Linked DNA regions of Rattus norvegicus. The protein of the gene in region 1 purifies or fractionates together with the protein of each later gene. This does not show direct contact. Links are inferred from orthologs where the notes say so. Each region holds a gene or a part of one and is shown in the gene's direction. Other genes may lie near its edges.

The links.
Region 2: the proteins of Ckap5 (region 1) and Slain2 purify together in Homo sapiens (affinity purification with mass spectrometry; 4 studies listed by BioGRID and IntAct, counting the BioPlex papers as one, with this or other methods). This does not show direct contact. The link is inferred for Rattus norvegicus from reciprocal best matches to the Homo sapiens genes CKAP5 and SLAIN2.

What each region holds. Positions count from the first base shown.
Region 1 is NC_086021.1:97,945,516-97,950,375, forward strand, and holds the start of Ckap5 (cytoskeleton-associated protein 5), read left to right. Parts: upstream 1-1,532; 5' UTR 1,533-1,591; intron 1,592-1,690; exon of another isoform or gene 1,691-2,089; intron 2,090-4,860. UniProt on the Homo sapiens protein: Binds to the plus end of microtubules and regulates microtubule dynamics and microtubule organization. Acts as a processive microtubule polymerase. Promotes cytoplasmic microtubule nucleation and elongation. Plays a major role in organizing spindle poles.
Region 2 is NC_086032.1:35,655,686-35,660,683, reverse strand, and holds the start of Slain2 (SLAIN motif-containing protein 2), read left to right. Parts: upstream 1-1,999; 5' UTR 2,000-2,240; coding exon 2,241-2,629; intron 2,630-4,998.

The sequences.
Region 1 (4,860 bases):
CCAGCCCTGGCTGGCTTACCATGCACTACATAGCTAAGGCTTACCTTAATTCCACATTCTTGCCTCTACCCCTAGAGTGCTAAAATGACAGTTGTGAACCACCGTATTCATATCTTTCTTCCCTAACTTTTGGTTTCTTGTTTGTTTGTTTGTTTGTTTGGTTGGTTGGTTGGTTTTGGTTTTTCAAGATAAGGTTTCTCTGTGTAAGCCTGTGCAATCCTGGAACTTGATTTGTAGACCAGGCTGGCCTTGAACTCGGAGATCTTCTGTCTCTGCCTTGTCATATTAAATCCTCACATTAAATTTTTAAAAAATAATCATTATTATATTATAACCTAATATTGTAGAAATGTTGGATATTGATTCAAGAAAGAATTTTAGCTGGGTATGGTGTTGCATGTGCCTGTAATCCCACGACTTGGAAGGTGAGGTGGAATGATGCTACATTTTTGATGCATCCTGGTCTATAGTGCCAGTTCCAAGTTATCTTGGACTACAGATTGGAACCCTGTCTCAAAGACTAAAATAGTGCAGGCAAGATGGCTCAATGGGTAGAGGTGTTTGCTGTCAAGTCTGGGGACCTGAATTTGAATTCCCAAAACCATACGGTAGAAGGAGAGAACCAATGCCTAGCAAGTTGCCCTTTGACTTTCTTAACCACTACCCATCTATAAGGCAAATAAAATGTAGTAAAATAGATTTTTGATAATCATATTTCATCAAATGAAGCCTCTCCTTTTTATAAGAATTTGATAATCACTTGAGAAGGTATTGTAGTTCATAAAATCCTTACATTAAATTTTGGATTTTTTTTTGTTTGTTTGATTTTGGTTTGGGGTTTGTTTTGTTTTGTTTTGTTTTTTGAAATAGGGCTTTTCTGGCTGTCCTGGAACTTGGCTCAGTAGACCGGTTGGCCCCGAATTCGAGATCTGCTTGCCTCAGTTGGGATCAAAGGCATCACTGCCTTTAATTTAAACTTGTAAGGAAATTTAAAATATTTAAATATTTATATTAAATTTGTAAGGAAAACATAATTATCCCATTTCCTACACAAAGAAACTGAGGTCCGGATTAACTGAGAAAAGTGATTTGTTCAAAAGAAGTACAAGACTACTATTTAGCATCCTGCCTCCATCCGAGGCTTCTTCTGCTACATCCCAGTTGCCTCTTGGTTTCCTCTCAGCACAGAACAGTATCATCAATATTTGCGATTGCAAGCTCTCAAACAAACAAAGAGGGCAGAGGTGTTGACAGCAGTTTAAGCATCAGTAGTTAGGTAAAGGCAACGTGATGATGGCTGAAAATGCATAGTTTTCCACAAACCTTTCGTTTTTCTATCTGAAGCCTTGGTAGCCATTCCTCCAGCCACTGGCTGACAAGCACCTGACAAGCAGCTCTAGGAAACGCAGCTGCGCGCGTTCCCTTTAAGGCCGCAGGCGGCGCGTGCCCATAGCCCTTTCAAACGGACCAATAAAGGGACGATAGGCGGTTCTCCGAGGACCAATAAACAACGAGGACACTGCGGGGTGTGCGGCGGCTCAAGCGGTTTTAAACGGCTTAGAGCAGGCCCCTCGGTTCTGACCCAGCGGAGGTGAGTGGACGGTGGGCCTCACTTGTTCGCCTGGACCCTGAGGATCCGGCGTCGCGCGCGCTAGGGGACCCACAGCCGCGGGCGGGGCCCTCGCGGACGCGCGCCTCCGCGTTCTCGCGAACCCGGCAGGTCTGAGGCGGCGAAGCGGGGCGGAGGCCTGGGAGCCCGCGGCTGGCAGGGCGGGGGGCGTGGGCGCTCGCTTGTGTTGGTGACCGGGGCTGGGGTTCAGGTGAGCAGAGCACGCGGCGGAGAGCTACTGCAGCTTCAGAGGTTCGCGGGCGGCGCCGGGCCGCGCCCGAAGGCTGAGATGTCCGAGGTTGGGGCGGGGGCCCTGCCAGCAGGCCCTTGGTGGAGTGCGCCTCGCGGAATTGTTAAATGAATGAACAAGAGCACGGGAGGGCTGTAGTGGGTGTGAAGGGCCTAGTTGTCTCAGAGCGGGACCAGATCCTGGTGTCCGAGCCTGCCTTCATACCTGCGTCCACTACCTGCGATGATTTTGTAAGGATTCTGTTCGTTCACCGCCCCGCCCTTGGTTTTCTCCCTCAGAAAGTGTCAGCAGAGTTCAGGTATTTTGCAGCTGTGAAGGTTTCCGGGACCAGTACAATAGCCAGCAGTGTAGGGTAGGTTAGCCAGGCCTTGCCACTTTAAGGCTCGATAGATGAGATTCTCACTTTTTAGCTCTTAGCAAATCGTTGTTGAGAGAGCTGACCAAAGTCTCGGTAATTGCTATGCAAGATTGAATGCATCCCATTTTGTTTCTTGCGTAGGGCATGATGAAAGAAATGTTGTCAGAGTGGCTGCTGTGTGTTAGAGAATATATTCTTGTTGATGAATCTTAACAATGAGTTTCTGATTCAGCACCAGTAGAGGTTTTGCAGAACTTGTCCCAAATTTATGCACGACTCTTAATTCTCCTAGGAACCAAGGCATTAAATCTTGGCCCAGATAGGATGCTTGTCTTACATTATGCATAATTATAGAACTGAAAACTCATTTTTAGAAAGGTGAAATCCCTTTTTTTCCATTTTCATCACCCTGAAAACTCCTTCTATGACCTAAAGAGCAAGAATAAGTCAAGCTAATGGTCATTTGAGACTTTTCTAAAGTGACTGGACTAGTAAGGTTTAATGAAGAGAAAATCAAAATCAACTTTTTTTTTTGTCAGCGTAAGTTAAATCAAGGTAGTAAACCTGTAATGAAAAAAATTGTACACAAAACTTGTTTAAATTTTTTTTTTTTTAACATGGGGCTGGAGAGATGACTTTTAGTACTTTGCTAAAGTACTGGTTGCTTTTCCAGAGCAGCTGGGTCTAGTCCCAGCAGCCACAACCATCTGTAACTCCAGTTCCATGGGGACTGATACTCTCCTCTGGCCTCCATGGGTGCTGCATATACATGGTACACAGACATACAGGCAAAACACACACACACACACACACACACACACACACACACACACACATATATTTTTAAAGATCTTTTATGTTTACTTTTGTGAGTGGGTACATATGCTTGATGTCAGACAAGTTGCTGGAGTTCTATCGTGTTGGTTCCGAGGATCAAACCTTAGTTGTAAGACTTGGCAGAAAACACCCTCACCATTTAACTCCCCCTTTCTGGTCCCAAAATTTTACCTTAGTTTTTAATGCTGTTCACTTAAGGAGGTGGCAAGCAAAGGTATTCCATAACAATATGCCATATACCTTCCTCTCTTTTAAAGTTTGGATTATCAATTTTGAATTATGTGGAGTGGTATGTGGTAATTCATCAGTAGCAGTTCAGTCGATGAATAAATAATTTAAACCTGGGTTTGGAAAAAGCAATTAAAAATAACTCACTTCTTTAACAATCGCTTTGGATAGTGTTAAAATATTTTTCCCAAGATTTATTTTATGAATGTTCGGTCTGTGTATGTATGTGCATTATGGATGTGTTTGTTCTCACAGACTTCCTTCAGAAGAAGGCATTGGATGCCCTGGAACTGGGGTCACAGATGCTTATAAGTAGACATGTGGGTACTGGGAACCAAACTTGGGTCCTCTGCAAGAACAACAAATCTTAAGTCTAAGCTGTTTTCTCCAGTTCCCATTGGTTAAAAGTCTTGATAAAGATGAAAACTTGCAAGGCATGATGGTTCACACCTCTAATTTTAATATGTGGGAGGCCGAAGCAGGAGGATTGCTGTGAGCACGAGACCAGCCTGGGCTATATAGTTAGTTTCTGGCCAAAATGGATTACAGAGTGAGGCCGTCTCAAAAAACAGCAGAAAAACCCAACAAGAGCAAATGAACATTTTATATTCTAGTGAAGCCAGGATGTCGTGTGTCCTGCTGAGATTGATGGCTGTTGGATGGTAAAACGTTATTCTAGATTCAGGGAGCACACTTGTGAGCCAGGAAAAAAGCACCTAAGGGAATTTAACACATTTATCTTCTGAACAATTTACAATGGTAAATTATAGTTTCTATGATCCCTCTAGCTTAGCCTGGGGCCTTGAACAAAGTAAATTCTTAAATGTGTTTACTAGCAGTAGCTAATTGTGATGGCTTGTATATGCTTGGTCCAGGGAGTGGCACTGTTAGGAGGTGTAGCCCTGTAGGAGTAGGTGTGGCCTTGTTGGGGGTCTGGGCTTTAAGATCCTCATTCTCGATGTCCGGAAGCCAGTCTTTTCCTAGTGGCCTTCAGATGAAGATGTAGAACTCTCAGCAATCCTGTACCTTCCCTGCCTGGATGCTGCCATGCTCCCATCTTGATGATAATTGACTGAACCTCTGATCCTGTAAGCCAGCCCCAATTAAATGAAATGGCCTTATAAGAGTTGCCTTTGTTATGGTATCTGTTTATAGCAGTAAAACCTTTACTAACTAAGACAGAAGTTTGGACCAGGTACTGGGGTAATGCTGTAATAGGTCTGACCATATAATAGGTCTGCTTTTGTTTGGAAGGATGTGGATTTGGGGACTTTAGATTTGGAAAGCAGTGGAATCCTTTAAGTGGGACTTAATGGGCTATCCTAGTAGGAATATGAAAGACTTTGTTGCCCAAAATGGTTTGAAGTGTGCAGAACTGGCCTAAGAGGTTTCAGTGGAGAAGAATTTCAGTATGTGGAGTAGAGACTGTATTTGTGGTATTTTGGTGAAGAATGTGGCTGTTTTTTGCCATTGTGTGAAGAGTCTGCCTGAGGCTAAGGTGAAAAGATTTAGATTGCTTTGAGGAAGGAAGTCTCAAAACAGCCTGGTATAAATTCTGTTGTGTGGTTAAAATATAAG
Region 2 (4,998 bases), on another chromosome or scaffold:
AAAAGGGAAAGCCAAGAGTAAAGAGAGAAATAAAGCTCAAGGCCCATGTTCATGGTAGGGGAAACCTGCTGGCAGGTCTCCTGATCCCGATAATTATTCCATATCACATTGCGCTTTCCTCTCAAGAACACCAATGCTAACTTCAGAATGTTAAGTGAGTTTTTCAAGGAATACCCTTAAAGAGTTCATTTGAAGCTTGGCTAACATGGAATCGGAATCCATGTCATAAGCAGATAATGTAAATGAATTACTGTGGTGTGTGATGAACCCTTGGTGATGAAACCTTCAACAATGAGATCAGATGTGTCAGGCACAATCGTAGCATTTAATGTGCACTACACAGATAATGCATTTCGTTTTACAAAATTTTAACAAGCAAAGGCATGCTTTTAATGTGTCTGCATAGCTAGGAAAACACACTTGACAGCAAACTTTAGCATACTCAAAGAATTTATTTTTGGACTATCAAAACTCATCTTCTGTTTAATTCCAGCAAAACAGGCATGTGCATGTCAGCCTCATAAGCAAGGAAAATGGAACGAGTCCTTTTGTCAACTATACAGATCAAACCAAATTAAAATACAAATATCTGTAGCCAACTATTGAGGTGATTTCAGCGCCAAGACAGTAACTCCTTCCAAGGATTTTTACAAAGAGGCGTCAAATATGGTAGGTAGGATGGTCTAGGCAAGGAAAATACAGCACGGAAAGGCAGAAGGGTTTAAGTCTTTATGTGAGTCCACACCCAGGTGTAATAAGACTGGTTCGAGGGTGGAGGAGGCAATTGGGAGTCAACTGCAAACATCAGCTGGAAAAGTTGAGAGAGCAGGCTTGTTTGGCTGCTTACCATATAGGTAAGTAGCTCACAACGGACAACTGTGGAGGAGTGAGCCAATATGACAGAAACAAAGCATTAAGTTTTGTTTGCAGTCGCTTCCACCAGTACAAATAGATGCCACCGAGGGCAGAATTTTACGTCTACTACCCTTCAACACTCTCTAATCCCTGTCAACGGATTGCTTAAATACTTTTCATGAACAACTTAAAAAAAATAAAAGAGTCACAAGCCTTTGATCGCAGCTTTTGAAAGGAGGGAGAGGCTGAGCTTTCGAGGCCAGCCTGGTCTACAGAGCGAGTTTCAGGACAGTCAGGACTACACGGAGAAATCTTGCCTCGAAAACCAAAAAGTCAAGACATACTATTAAAAAGTCTTTTGGGGTAAAGGGAGTATCCAAGGAATACAACGCGCATTAATTACCGTTGAAAGATTAGCACAGAAGTCTTTTCCATCATCCGACTGTCTCTGAGCTGTAAACCTTAAGCCAACGAAACAAAACAAAACAACCCCCGCCCACGCGTTTTAAACGGATGAAATAATGCCTTTAAAAGTGCTTAGCGCAGTGTCTGGCCCATAGGAACCACTCAACAAATTACGGTTATTAGACTTCCGAGCTCTCAACCATTCGGGATTCGGGTTCTCATTTTCAGGGGATGGAACGGGCCACAGATGGTCCCCGGGGCTGCTGCCAGCTCCGACAGTCTCCGGTTTCAAGCAGGAACCTACTCAGTATTGCCAAACAAACCAAGGAAACCATCCATGCAGCCAGGCGAGGCCATCGGTCCGCGAGTCTCAGCACCCACCCCTTGCCACAGACGCCAAAGGCGGGGCTGAACCGGAGCCTGAGCTGGATCTGGATCCCGGTTCTCGATTTCACCCTGGCTCACAACTATCTTTGGGCAGGATAGGCGGACAGGGCAAAACTCCAGAGCTAACCCAGCCCGACCCACCTTCGCCGGCGCCCACCACACCCCTTCCGGCTGGGGCCCCGCCCCTAACAATGACCCCCGCCCCTCTTGGTCCCTCCCGTTTTCAGGCCCCGCCCCCAGCCCCGCCCCACCGCGAGCCGGGCGCTTAGTTCTTTCAGCCCACGGGCAGCCACGTCCTCCCCTGACGCTCTGAGGTCACCGACCGGGCTGGCCGGCAGGGGGCGGAGGGACGGAGGGAAGATGGCGGCCGAGGCCGGATATTGGCGCCGCCTCCCCCAGTCGCGGAGCCGGCGCAGATGAGGCGGCTCGGCTGGGGCCAGCGGCGCTTCGCAACCCGAGCCGGGGGGACCCTGGCGGTGGGGCCTGGCCCTGCTCTATGCCGGCGCCTCGGCTAGCGTGAGCGGTGGCGGTAACGCCTCTCTCCCCCGTGCTTCCCCTGCGGCTTGGGAGTCGGAGCGGGCGGCGCGGCCGGCATGGAGGACGTTAACTCCAATGTGAACGCGGACCAGGAGGTGCGGAAGCTGCAGGAGCTGGTGAAGAAGCTGGAGAAGCAGAACGAGCAGCTGAGGAGCCGCTCAGGAGCCGTGCAGAGTGCAGGCCTCCTCGGGCCGGGCAGCCCTGCTCGGGCCGGCGTGTCCACCCCCTCCTCGGGCGCGGCGTCCCCTCGGGGCTTCCCGCTGGGCCTGGGCGCCAAGGCGAGCGGCGGGGCGGGCTCGGGCCCGCGACGGACCAGCAGTGAGGATCTGCGGGACGCCACCTCCTTGCTGGCGGCTGGTGAGGGCGGCTTGCTGGACGAGGTAGAACCGCTGCGGCCCGACGAGCTGGAGCGCTTGTCAGGCTGGGAGGAGGAAGAAGAGAGCTGGTGAGCGCGGGGCGCCGGGCCGGGTGGGCCTGGGGGAGGGGTGTCCCTGGGGAAGCAGGGTGGGCTCGGCGGTGGTGGGGACGCAGGCTTTGCCTGATTCTGCTGCGGGCAGGTTGGCTGGAGTTTGGGGGTTCGAGGCGTGCCTTGGAAACAGGTCTGTAGCTAGTTCTCTTCTGGGTCGTGGAACCTCTGGGTGCTGGACCCAACTGGACCCAGATGGGGTCTGTGGCTTGGCACAGTCCCGGTGGGCCCGCACGCTCAGAGCACTCAGAGGTACCAAGCTGCTTCGTAGGAAGTGATCCTGCTTTGTGTGAAAGACTGGCTTTCGGATGGTGTTCTGAGCGTTTTGGATATAGGGAGAGGTCTGCTTCAAGAGGTAACGACCAGGTGCGGGGACATACAGAGTAGCAGTCAGGGCTTTGGACTTGAGTGAGATGGGTATGTTTGTGGGGAGGCCGGGTTAACGTCACTCCCCTTTGGGTAGTTGGGGTAAAGCTTTGCTTTGTGTGTGTGTGAAGAGGGCAGTGGAGGGATGGGGCTGCTTTGTGTGAAGTCGGCGGCGGTGGAACAGGAACCCTGAATTTTATTTTTGAGAACAAGAATTGGGTCTGACATAATTTCGGAGCCGTGAAGCAGTAGCCACCATAGCTGACTATCATTTCCATGCCATTCTGGAGGCAGAGAAAGAGTCCTATTTTAAAAATCCAGACCAAAGCCGTAATTGTCATGAGGCACCTCTTGATGAGCTTGTGACCCCACACCTTAAAGTCACACTTTCGTTAGGCCACGAGCAGCTTTCCCTCTAGTTTTATTTTTGATTTAAAAACACCTGCTGGAAATTATCCTCACAAATTCATCCGTTTTTGAAGTCCTAACTTTTAGCTAGAACGTTTATGCTGTTGACATTAAAACTTCTCTGAGGTCGAAATCTCTCATGGACTGGTATCCAGGCCTCCAGCATTGAAGAATTCTAAGCACTGCCTAGCTGGATGTAGGCCCTAGATTTGTCACTTAAAGGTTTATGACCTTGGAGAAGTTACTTGGAGCTTCACTTCTTTTCCTCAGGAAAATTCTCATTCTTGTGTAGAATTCTGAAGATTAAGTCAGATAATCCACGTGTACTTTTATTTTAGCACTGGGCTAAAATAAATTCTCCAGGACTGGGCACTATTAGCCTTAAGCCTGGCTATTTAAATCAACACTATTTTGTGAGTTTGCATGTGATCCCTGCTATGGGAGATTCTAAAGATTCTTAAGTGCTGATGCCTGTGTGCGAGGCCCTGGCAGTCATATTGAGAGCTAAGTCTTGGTCAGTTAAACAAGGTAGGATGTGTATAGTGAAGTGAGAGAGTTATAGAACAGCACTAGTGCCTTGGTCCAGATACTAGGCCAAACTTTTCGGAGACTGTATAAGTCAGAGAGGGAACTAGGAACATTCCAGCATTTTACGTGTCACAGCTACAAGAAGTATTTTTAACTCATACTTAGGACCATATGAGTGACAGGCCTTGCTTCTTGCCAAGAGATACCAAGTATTAGTAGAATGAGTGCAGTAGTTAGAACATGCTCATGTTAGTGACCCTGTCCTCTGAAGGGATCCTGTGCATGTGCACTTTGAAAGAATCCAGAGTCATCCAAGTATCATCACAGCCCTTCCAAGTGATGATGAGATCAGTGCTCATGGTAGTGAGGATTGGCTGCACCCACCAGCCGGTTTTAGATGGATTGGTAGAGCACAGTGACTCCACCAGGCAGGCACCAAGCAAGTCTTTAGCTGCTTTGGTTTCTGAGCATGGATTTGTCAAGGTAAAGCAAGTACTCTTAGGTGAGCATGCCAGGAGTTTGTTTTGACCACATGATTCCTACTTACTCTGTTTCACATGGTTCCATGTCTTTGGTGCTATAGATATCTTATGCTTTTTCCTGAAAATGCTTATGGGATTTAAAATCTGGCCCTGAGTTCGACTTTAACTGTGATAGGTCAGGGGAGAGTTAGATAAAGAAATGAGGGTTAAAATGCCGTGGGGTGTGTCTGAGTAGTAGGAGGGTGTGGCTGTAAGTGGCTGGAAGAGTTCATAGTAAAATTTGCTTTCTCAGCAAGTCAGAAACCTACCTTCCATAGCTCGATTCTATTGCATATCATTTTCATCTAGAGAAAGTTTTGCCCCTAGCATATGCCACAAAATGTAGAAGGAAGGAGTAGGCATTATATGGGAAAATAACTGGCTTCTGGTATAAATTTAAGTAAGGGAAACGGGGCTTATCAAAAGTGAAGGGTTTCTTTCATGCTGGGCTTTTTCGAGATGCAGATCTGTATTGGCCATAATAAATGCTCCAGGGATTGTGGTTGTTTCCTAAACTTAATTGAG